3 linked regions of the Lepisosteus oculatus genome follow. The protein of the gene in region 1 interacts with the protein of each later gene in a pairwise test. Links are inferred from orthologs where the notes say so. Each region holds a gene or a part of one and is shown on either strand. Other genes may lie near its edges. The genes, in order: eda, dolk and cyb561.

Region 1 (3,753 bases):
AAATCTTCCTGTGGACAGGCACTCACAAAACACCTGTTTTATGACCCCAATTTTTTCACATAGAAAGTTACACTAAAGAAAATCAGATACACATGTTAGCAGTAAATCAAATGTCTAAAAAAAGGATTTGCTTAAGCCAGTTTATGTGCTCGTCTACTTGCCATATTTTCTATTTTAGTAGTGCTTCATTTAGTTTTTCTAGAGGTTCCAAATCAAATACTTCTCACTACTCACTGCTTACTTACTTCTCTAATTTTTCACAATTTAAGCACAGGTTAATCTCCTCTAAATGTTAACCACTGTAGCTTCAGGGTACAATATATTCAAGGGCGTGACAAAGGTATTGCATATGACACATTCATAAATGTAGTCCCCAGTAACTTAACATTAGCCTTTAATACAAAGTCAACAAGTAAGCTATGCTATTCATGTGCTGTAGTTAAAAGTGCTCTACTGTAAATGGGCAAATCTTTTAAAGGCATGGGATACATAGACTTGCTCTTTTGCATGAAATCTGGCACCAACTATAAATCTTCAACAGCTAATACATCACTGACACAGTAACTCTCCGTCAAAGCAAACAGTACCTGTTATCTGACTTGTCTCATTTGAGAGCTAAACATTTCCAGAGCGGGAAGGTACGTATACCAATGGGATCATCTCTGTAGTGCAGCACTGTTGTAGAACATTACATACTGTTTCTGAAACTTTCATGTTGAGCTTGGATACATATTTTTTTTTATTTCATTAGTTCAACTATAGCTCTTCACATGGCGAAGGGGATACCGAAGTAACCTAAAGTTAGCCACTATTTCAGTAATATCTGAACCAGGTAGGGTAAACTTCATCAGTGCATGCAGCAGTATATGAGGGTTCTAGGAACAAACCCCTCAAAACTATGTAAAAAACGTTCAGTCATAAAAAGCTCATGTGTAAAAGGCCAGTTAAGTCTACAAACTTCTGTTTTCTCTTTTTCCCCCCTCCACCGTATAACAGCAGCTGTTCCAGTTCCAAATGTATAAATTTGCATTTCAGGAACATGTGTACCGGTATTGTATTCTAAATTCACAAATCCTACTGTTCTCAATACATCATTTCACATTGGCACAAGTTGAGGAGTAACTTTAACCACAGAATGGTATGGTGGACGCAGAAAGACGTTTTAATTTCTCGAATCAAAAAAAAGTAAAAAAAAACTAAAATACAGTACTTGTCTTATCTTTGTTACTTTTAAATCTAATTGTTGGAGCGCCATATCATTGTCGATTTCGAAACCTTAGCCCTTCGGCAAAGAATTTTAACTTACCTTTTACCTAGCAGGATGAAGAGAGATCGCGGTTTAACAGAACGGAAGCTGTTATAAACCTACTCTTCACAGAAAACATTTGTGCTTCAAAGCGATTAATTTCTATTAAATAATCTGTGCATTTCATAAATGTGATATATTAACAAAACCGGCATCCCCTTTTTTTTAAAAAAAACCAAATGTGACTGGATATAGTTTTACGCAACCAATCACAGTCGTTACAAACGATCAAACTGATCCTTAAATAAAATGCTTGACTGACGCTCTAGTTGAAGAAAAATAAACTGCGGTGGACCACAATGTTCTTCTTACGATTTCTAGACGCTCTTATTTTAGATACAGCTTTATCGCTTTCATCGTACAGATGCCGGTTTATAAACAAATAGTGTTATTGCGATTACCTCTTGGTCCATTGTAGGGTAGCTGATGTCCAAAAGATGGTATTCAGGGGAAAGCGGTTCATTTAAGTCAGTTGCACCCGGCGTCACAATTTCATCTCTGTTTTTCTGTGAAAGCTCGCGTTTCACTTCAGATCTGAGATCCAGATAGCAGAAAAGTGTGATCAAATGCAACGAGAGGGACAATACGAAGAATCCCAGGAAAATCTTACAGTTGTTACATTGTTTCCTGCACATGCAGGTTGTAGGAAGTTCAGGTTTCAGTGCTTTCTCCTCTAAGTTTGCAACATTTTCTGTTAAACCTTTAGATGCCATTTTTTTGTAAATAGAAACAGGTAGTGCTATTTCAGCATAATCAGCTGCTTTCTGGGGTCTGATCCACTACTGATCAGTAACTTTGAAGCAGAAGCCCACATGAAAACCACTCCTCTGATCTTTTTCCTTGATCAGAATAAGTAACCAAACTAGCAAACCGCGTCAATCACTAGTAACAATCCGGTTTTAGGATCCGCCTTTAGCGTTTCTGATTGGGGACTGGATACGTAACGGAGGCAGAACACAACCCATTTTCCCTCCTCTCTTCCTTCTTTCATATGCTTTCTTTTCATGTGGAGTAGTTGCTGCTTATGAAAGGGTATACAAAAGGTCACGTCATTCATTATGGATTACTCGAAGAACTTTGCCCATGAAGTTCATATTGTTACTCACGCAATTTGTTAACTGACATGGTGTCTAAAGCAGAGAACTGCTGAAGTGCTGACCTCGGGAAAAGCAAAGAAAGGTTCAGGCAAAGCAGGAAGCACTTGCTATTGTGAATCAAGCACGTTTGCTGCAAAGAGTTATTGGGCGGTGATGAAATGCACGTGGCGATTTGATATACAAACGTAATTTTATATATATAAAAAAAGATACATTTTATAAACCTGACAAAACAGTAAGCGTGCTCTGGAAAATTTCAAATCGCAGTTGTATTTTGAAAGTTCTCCATCAAGTGTAATCCGTTTATAGAATATATCTCATATTACAATTACAATAAATAAAGCAAAGTGAGGGGGGCGTGTAATAATTCTTCTAAATTTACGCTGTAGTTCAAATGTGGCTATTATTTTGAGAAAGCTAGGGAATTAAAATTTTGATTAATCTCTTACTGTCTTACCTTTAAATTATGCATTAATATACCCTACATCATAACGTTGGCAACTTTTATGAAAGCTTAAAAAACTTTAGTTGACTACTGTTTATTACTGAGTACTCTGTAGGAGAAAGCATGAAAATCCTTTACACGGAGATCCATATTATACAGCTGTTTATTAAAGAATATCACCTACTCATGTAACATATTCCTAGTTACTCCTACTGTACATGGCTCCCTGTTACAAAACATAGCTGCTTTTTTTAAATGTTCACATTTAGTAACTTATATGTTCTTCAGATCACATTTATTTGATTTGCTGATCAAAATTAAATGATCAAAGTTGACTTACTTTCCATCTCAAAACTTTAATTAACGTTATTGGAATGCTTCTTCACATCTAAATCCAGATCTATACATGACTGAAATGATTTATACTGTTATAATTAAAATTTATTTTTACACAACAGGAAACTTTTTGTGTGTTTTCCCTTCACTGAGCTCAAAGATTAAGTAGGGTCTTTTTCTTTAGCTTTAATACTTGCTGTGTTTGAAACTTGTACAAGTTAGTAATTATGCACCAAAATTATCACCAAAAGACTTTGCAAGTACTTTATAAAATAAAAGCAAGAACATATGACACATGCATTTTAATTAAGGAGCGCAGAGGCTGTCTGATGGTATAAAAAAATCTCAAAATAGACTAAACATCTGGAGATGACACATCTACTAGTGTGAGACTTCACGCAAATGCTTGGAAAACATGCATTTTCCTTGTCATCTTTTAGTGTATTTCACTTGAAAGCAATTTAAAAAAGGTCTATTAAAGATCAATTCTTTTGAGAACAGTAAGACTTCTTAACTTTCTTTTAAAATTCCTTAAATTTAATTATTCTATCAAAGGAAATGGAACAAAC
Region 2 (3,753 bases), on another chromosome or scaffold:
TGGTCCTACAAAAATAAACGCATTCATCCCTATAAAAGTGACGAAAATAATCATAAATGACATTCCACGCACTTATACTTAGAGATAAACGTGAACATTTAAAAGCTTACACATCTGCGGCATATTAACACTGTTACGTACATTTCACATCTCACTGGTACGTCTGGACGCTACACACGATTTTTAGGGTCAGAAATAAGGAAAAAAAATACTTTACTCCAAAGTTGAAAGTGTCAAAATCAGATTCAAGTTACTGTATGTTCAAACCTCCGCGTTCAACTGTTTTGACATTTCTCGGCAGTTCTGTGTTAATGGAAGTTACAACATTTTGACAGTATACGTTTGTTTTCTTTTAAATTGTCTTTATTAAAGGGATGCAGCGTAACGGATCGTCCTTCGCATGAATTTTAGGAACCAATAGCCTACATTCATTCAAAGAACTAGGCACGTTTTCAATCTAGTTTTTAAGCAATTACTTCTGTTATAACATTGGCAATAAACCTAGATAATAGGACCACCGTACTATATAGTCTCAACAAGTTTTTTCTATACTGTTAATTGTTCTTGATCCGAACATTATTGGAGTATCTCGGAACATGGTACTTGTTATATACATATTTCCTGCCAATGAGAATAAGAAGCAATGTTAACTGCCTTCTAAAAAATTTCACTAACATGCGGCAGAAAACAGCACACATTTTTCCCTCCACATTGTAATAGCCATCCCATTTATAAAAGTAAGAACTAAAAGGAAAACGTCCAAACGTCTAAATAACTATTCATTCATTTCATTTTATCCTTCCTCATTACATTTCCCATTCAGACATGATCAGTTTTGTACAATGCCATACATTAAAAGAACACTTTTGCTTTTCTTTCAAGTACCTGACACACATCTCCGAGTCCGCCATATTCCCCCCTACACGTGACACCTCCTCCGGTCGAACACCCTGGTCATGTGACGGGTGCCCCGGGTTGGAAAGAATAAAAAAAACACTTCCGAAGCCGGCAACTGAGATGCGATCACTGTGTAGGAAGCAGAAAATAAAATCCGCCCTATTCATGTGATCAAGCTGTCAACATGGCCGCCTCCTAGATGTTAAAGACTAAAAAAAAAATTATACGATCGAATGAAAGTACGCACAAAACGTGTTATGATCGCGGTGGACATGTGAAGTAAGTTAATTAACACATTTTATGATATCTGGGTAGTGTTATCAGTTGGCTTTTGCAAATTCATGGGGATGTTGCTTGCATGTCAGATATCTTGTACCTTGCACCCAGTTCCGTTATGTTGTAATTTCATACAATCGATTGGCTACCAACCAGTCTTGTTAAACCACAAAAGGCCTCAGTTAAAGCGGACTCGAATGCATTTACCGTGGAGCTCTTAAATATCCATGCGTTTCTCGTGTTTTCAATTTTGAAGCTTTTAACTATGGATAGGAAATTACGCACCTGCAGCCAAAAAACGCTGTCTGAAATACATTGTTTTATACAATAGCCGTTTAACAATGTCAGTACTAGTCTACTTCAGTGGAGTGGTTTTATGAAAAAGCACAGCGTTAAGGTAAGCTGACTGTCAAATTGTTACATGTTTCACAAGCTTTGTTAGGAACAGAGTGGTGTTTGAAACAAAGAGCATTAATGTTTTAAAGAGAGGAGGCCATCCTGCTGATCTAAGTCGCTTGGGTGATACCGATACAGTACTAAGCTAAGTGATCCGAGGATTTCGTCGGGCTGCGTCTTGAAAGACGACATTACACGACCATAAAAGAACGTTTTTATTCTCTTCTAACCGGATACTCCGCGGATGTGTGATGACGAAGAGTTTTATTAAATGTTTTATTACGTGGGGAGTAAAAGCACGTTTCCATGATTTGCTTACTTTTATTACGACAGAATTGTAGTATTTTGCCCTGGCCGTTGGCATTTCTAATTGGTGACGTCTCTCGTGTCCGTGAGGGTACATCGGCTTGCAAATACGCTATAGAAAAAGTGACAGAATTATAGAGTTAAATCATTCCACCGACCGAGACTAACACTGTAATATATATATATATCGATAGGTGGCGTAAGAATGAAGAATGGAAAAATGTGAAGCATTACATCAAGGAAGTGGCCTGCCCTGGATGCAAGAAAATACCGATAAATAGCAGTTTTGAGAAGCACCCCTGAAGCTGCAGGATCTGCAACCATGCTGACGAATCCTGTGTTCGTGGAGTCAGTTATTGTTTTCACTATTGTTTTGTGTGTCCATTTTGTGGTTTGGAATCAGCTGTCATGGTGTTCCATTGCCTTGGCCATTCAAGCCTTCTATGTCCAGTACAAATGGGACCGCCTCCTGAAATCTGGCGGGGCTGTGTTTCAGTTCAGACCCTCTGCGAACAGTGGCATCCTGCCCGCTTGCATGATCATGCCTCTACTTGGCCTGGCCCTGAAAGAGCGCTGCCAAGCCTCCGGAAATGTGTACTTCGAGCGCTTTTCAATGGTGGTCACCGCGACAGGGATGATGCTGGCTCTGTTTCTCTCCCTGATTGCCCTCGGCATCACCAGGCCTGTGCCGACCAACACCTGTGTCATTTCTGGCATTGCTGGTAGCGCCGTGATCTACACGATCAAGCAAACCCTAACGGTCTCTGAAGTCATTGAAGTGCTGGAGGTGCTTCTGATCTTCGTCTACCTCAGCCTGATCATTCTGTACCTCCTGCCTCGCTGCTTCACTCCTGGTGAGGGCCTCATCATCATCGGTGGTATTAGCTTCATCATCAACCAGCTCATTAAGCGCTCCCTGAATGCCCCTGAATCCAAAGGAGATCCCATCAACTACTTCCTGCTAGTGATCGTGGTTGGATGTCTCTTGCTGGGGATCTTCTTCACCCTGCTCTTCTGCTTCATGGAGTCGGAGACCTGGGTGTCCTCCCTGTTTTTCCACATGATGACGGCAGTTCTTGGCTTGGGGATTATCATGCCATGGCTTGCCCTCCTGATCCGAAGGCACCCCTTAATGTGGCTGATCGACTTCCTCCTCCTGAGTCAGAACAGACTCTGCCTGCTGGCCTACTGGGTCCTGCTGGCAGTGCTGGCGTCTCTGGTGGTGTTCCACCAGAACTACAAGAGGTCTTTGGGGTCCAAGAAGCACCAGGCCTCTACAGTCGTGAGGAAGTACTTCCATTTCATTGTGGTGGCCACGTACGTGCCCGGGCTGATTTACGACCGTCAGCTTCTGCACGTCGCCTCCGTCACCTGCTTGGCCGCCTTCCTCCTCCTGGAGTACGTCCGCTACTTTCGGATCAGACCCGTCGGGCACCTCCTCCGGCAGCTGCTGTCTCTGTTCCTGGATGAGCGAGACTCCGGGCCCCTCATCCTCACCCACATCTACCTTCTCCTCGGGATGTCCCTTCCCATATGGCTGTACCCTGGACCCTGCATGCCTAAAGGAAGCCTCCCAGGAGTGGGGGGACTGGTGCCCTATGCTGGTGTGCTGGCCGTCGGTGTTGGGGACACTATGGCATCTGTGTTCGGCAGCACCATGGGAGAGGTCCGGTGGCCCGGGACCAAGAAGACCATGGAAGGGACAGCCACTTCGATCTTCGCCCAGATTATTGCTATTGCTCTTTTCCTCATTTTTGATGAGGCCATTAACTTGAACACCAGCTATGCTTGGATAGTAGGATCAGTCACACTGGTTTCTTTACTAGAGGCCTACACAGCCCAGATAGACAACCTCCTACTACCCCTTTACCTTTTTAT
Region 3 (3,753 bases), on another chromosome or scaffold:
ACCGAGTAACAGCTTCAGGTTTCTCTTGTTTTTAAACGCAAGATACACAGTTTCAGCTTGAAAAAAGAACTCTGGTTTCAGTTCTCAATACCCTCTCCTCTTAGTCACCTTTCTGGGCTTGAAATAGACTTGGAGTCAACATCTTTAATGTGGTTTGTCTCCCTTGGAGACCGGAGCTGTCAGGCTTCAGCCTTGCTGGCTGGCCAGTGAGGTACAGCAGCAGGCGATGAGGCCTCGGGAGATAACGACTGGGCCAGACTGCACCCTGTGCGTCTAATCTTTCCTGGCCCCCTGAGGCCATTGCTGTGAAGTGTTCTGAGTGAGAAAATGAAACGGCTAACTTACTAATGATCCCGTGGCCTTTAAAAGTTAACCTCCTAACTGAATTCACAGTGAGGGTTTGAGAGCCTGGGGCCAACTGCTGATTCAATTTACTTAGTAAAAAGGCCCGGCTGTGTTTTTTCTTTGTCCTTTATGTTAGAAAAACAGGCAAAATTAGAAGAAACAGATGTGATTTAAATAACATTAAGCATTTAGTTTATCTAAAAACCACAGGCTGAAGGGGGAAGAAAGAGCTCGGTGAAAACGGCAAAATGTCATCATCTTGTTTTGTTCATCGTTGATAGATTTTAATTCACAAGAAGCTCAGGATGGCATATAAAGCAGCAGGTGAATTTGTAATTTTTCAGAGTCCTGTATTATTAAATTATTTTCATTTTCTCCTTAGAGAAATGACATTTTCAAGGAGCAAGGCAGTGATGAGCACTGCCTGGAGACTCTCTCCTCCATGTGAGAACAGCCAAGGCTCAGCACTTGGGCAGAATGTCACCCTGTTCCATTTCAGCTACGGCGGATTCTAATTGCTGTTTTTATGGTTCGTTTGCTTTTCCGGAAGGCCTTCCTGGAGACCTGGGTCGAGCCATGAAAGGAGAGAAAAATGGACAGTTTGGAGGTGTTATTAGATGGTCCGCACAGGAAAATTCAGACCCATTTCTAAACACGAGATCAGTCAGTTTCTCAGTTGGATGAGAGTTATTCAGCCCAGACCCTGTGGTCCGGCCTGAATTCCAGTCTGTCCTCCCTCTGAACGAGGATCTGGATATTTAGCCAGTAGATCAGCTCTTGTCACAAGTCTGAGAGCACAGGAGACAATCGGCCTCCTGCCTTTGTAAAACCTTTGTGCTATTTGGGAATGAAAATCATTTATCTTCCCATGAAACCCCTAGTTGATTCCTGGCATCAGCCACAGAGGCACCTCTCTCGTCAGTGGGCAGGTGTCCTGCTCACTTCCTTGTGGTTGACCAGTCAGACCTGTCCTGGATGTTTTTAAGATGCGAGAGGAACTTGTCTGGGAGAAACGAACCCCCATGCCATCCCATAGCCAGTAAGACTCCGAGGCAGCAGTGTGCTAGTGAATCATTTACACTCTACAGCCACACCTGCTCTTTCGTTCTTCGTGTGTTTACTTTAATCTCATCCTAAAGGCATGAGGACACCGATTCCCATTGCCATGGCCTCCTCATGCTGACCCTAAAGAAATATCAGTGCTGATCCAAGCTCAAACTGAATACTCGTCTCAGTTCGTTCAGAGTGCGGTACGTTCAGATCACGCTGATCATTTCACAGGAAGAATAATGCTATGGGGAACAAAGGGTAAGTGTAATTAACTGCCAATATTTTAACTCGACTTCCAGAAATATCCAGTCTTCGTCTTTCATGGGGCGTGCAGGACAGGGAGACTGTATCGTACCGTGCTTGGTCAGCGCAGGGTGACCCGGGTGTCGGCCTGATCAGACCTGATCTGTGTGTCTTTGGGAAGTTAGAAGAAGGAGAGTGCCTGGTAATAAACAGGATGACCCCCCCCACCCCCGTTAGAACATGCAGACTCCATACAGAAGGATCGATAAGGCTAGAACTGAAACCAGGATTCCTGGGGCAGCAAAATTAATCTCTCTGTCACTGTGCTGTCCACTACAGCCAGTGATTCAAAGCTATGTAAGTGGTGTCTCTTCTGTCATTTCCATACTTCGCTTGTTGGATACTGAAAGTTCTGATAGTTGCTGTCAGAAACAAATGGGATTCTGTACTTAAAGCTTTGGAAATGGAACCCAGGCAGTGGGAAATGTCTTGCACTGACCGTCCCCGTACAGGAACACCAGTCCGATGACCATGCACAGCGGGTGGATGTTGAACTCCCTGGCGGTGCCGTCCCAGGCGTAGCCCCCCTGGTAGTGACCCATCCACACCCCCGTGAGGACCACACACGCCAAGCCGAACACCTGGGAGCCCCCCACCAGCCAGGGCAGCTGAGAGGGGCAGGACTGCTCCACCGGACTGTCCGCCATGCTCTGGGAGCGCCGGGTCGCGAGGGCTGGGAAAGGCAGGATGAGCAGTGGAGGGGAGAGCGATGGGAAAAGAGGCAGCAGGAGAAGAAGGAACACAAGGAGGTGGACAGAGAAAGAGATCTCAGTTAATCAGACACGCAGCAGGTGAGAGAGCGATTGGAACAGATGATTCATTCATTTACAGTGTAGCTCATACCCGAAGGCAAACAGCAGCCATTGATGTTATCAGTTGAAGAAGCCACTGCCGGAACGATCAAGAACACGCACAGGCTCTTTTACATGAAAACTTGTCATGTGAAACCTCGTCCAGGCACATGCAAAGTAGCCGGTTATGGAAAGTGAACTGGTTGTGGTAGCAGTCTAGACCCGAAGAGCTGATAAGGGAAATTGTAGCTGCAGATCCCTTGGCTCTGTGGCAGAACTGAAAGAGTAATTAGATCACTTCTAATCACCTTTCCCCAAGACCAATCTGTATTTGCGACTTAAACCTTTAAAACGGTGCAGTGAGAGTTTTAGACGCCAGAGACAAAAGAACCAATAAGTTTATTCTCTCGTTCCAGCCACAGAGTACAAAGGCACAGCCTATTTAAGAGTGCATTAACTACTGCATTGTCTCATTAATGTAATCTCAGGTATCAATGTAAAATTTTATCTTTTATTTGCTTATTTAAACCAATTACATCCTAATATTAAGAAATATCAATATATTCACATATTGCTTTGTTCTCTTTATTAGTGATTCAGATTTACACATTTCGGTAGCGGCATCAAGAATGCTGTGTTGATTGCACAAGACTGAAGAAGGACCCTGGACTGCACCAGCAATCAAGAATTGAAATCTTTTGGATGGTACTGTTCTGTGCTACAGTTCTGTTCAGTCCTCCATCACATAAAACCGGGACTCATCCAGTAACATGACTAGCAACTCCCAACATCTTAGAAGTAGTTTTGAGGAGAACATCATGTGTCCGGCCATGCAGGAATTACTGAAGCTCATGTACAGTATGATCCAGGCGTGTCCAGGGTGTGAACCACTGCATGACACAGCACAGACCCACACAGCCCAACAGGGAGCCCTCTGTCCAGACCACCTGCCAATTAAATCAGGTCAATCAAAGATTGAAAAAAATCAGATTAATTAAAGCCCCGTTTTCCTTCCAACATGGGTTAGGAACAAAGATATCCTTGTAAGGGGTGAGTGGGAAGTGTTCCCAGGGCAAAGTCCTAAAATCCTATAGCAGGTGGTCTACGTTCCTATACCCCTGTTTAACAGAAGCCTCATTTTGATTGAACCGAAACCTTGGAAACTGATGGAAAATGAAAATGGAACATTTTAGCAGCTTCACTAATCCAGCCACAGCCCTGCCTGTCAGTGCTGAGGACCGACAGGGCAGCTTTTAGGAAACTG

Evidence for each region.
Region 2: the proteins of eda (region 1) and dolk interact in binary tests that used the Homo sapiens proteins (3 or more experiments, as listed by UniProt). The two-hybrid records come from large-scale screens. The link is inferred for Lepisosteus oculatus from reciprocal best matches to the Homo sapiens genes EDA and DOLK.
Region 3: the proteins of eda (region 1) and cyb561 interact in binary tests that used the Homo sapiens proteins (3 or more experiments, as listed by UniProt). The two-hybrid records come from large-scale screens. The link is inferred for Lepisosteus oculatus from reciprocal best matches to the Homo sapiens genes EDA and CYB561.

Annotation. Positions count from the first base shown.
Region 1 is NC_090703.1:44,538,228-44,541,980, reverse strand, and holds the start of eda (ectodysplasin-A), read right to left. Parts: upstream 2,175-3,753; 5' UTR 2,020-2,174; coding exon 1,708-2,019; intron 1-1,707. UniProt on the Homo sapiens protein: Cytokine which is involved in epithelial-mesenchymal signaling during morphogenesis of ectodermal organs. Functions as a ligand activating the DEATH-domain containing receptors EDAR and EDA2R. May also play a role in cell adhesion.
Region 2 is NC_090719.1:7,423,185-7,426,937, reverse strand, and holds the start of dolk (dolichol kinase), read left to right. Parts: upstream 1-1,068; 5' UTR 1,069-1,176; intron 1,177-1,210; exon of another isoform or gene 1,211-1,570; intron 1,571-2,069; 5' UTR 2,070-2,197; coding exon 2,198-3,753. Other genes in the region: nucleoporin NUP188, read right to left, coding at 1-5, 886-911. UniProt on the Homo sapiens protein: Catalyzes CTP-mediated phosphorylation of dolichol, the terminal step in de novo dolichyl monophosphate (Dol-P) biosynthesis. Dol-P is a lipid carrier essential for the synthesis of N-linked and O-linked oligosaccharides and for GPI anchors.
Region 3 is NC_090723.1:4,082,574-4,086,326, reverse strand, and holds the start of cyb561 (transmembrane ascorbate-dependent reductase CYB561), read right to left. Parts: upstream 2,346-3,753; coding exon 2,138-2,345; intron 1,672-2,137; exon of another isoform or gene 728-1,671; intron 1-727. UniProt on the Homo sapiens protein: Transmembrane reductase that uses ascorbate as an electron donor in the cytoplasm and transfers electrons across membranes to reduce monodehydro-L-ascorbate radical in the lumen of secretory vesicles.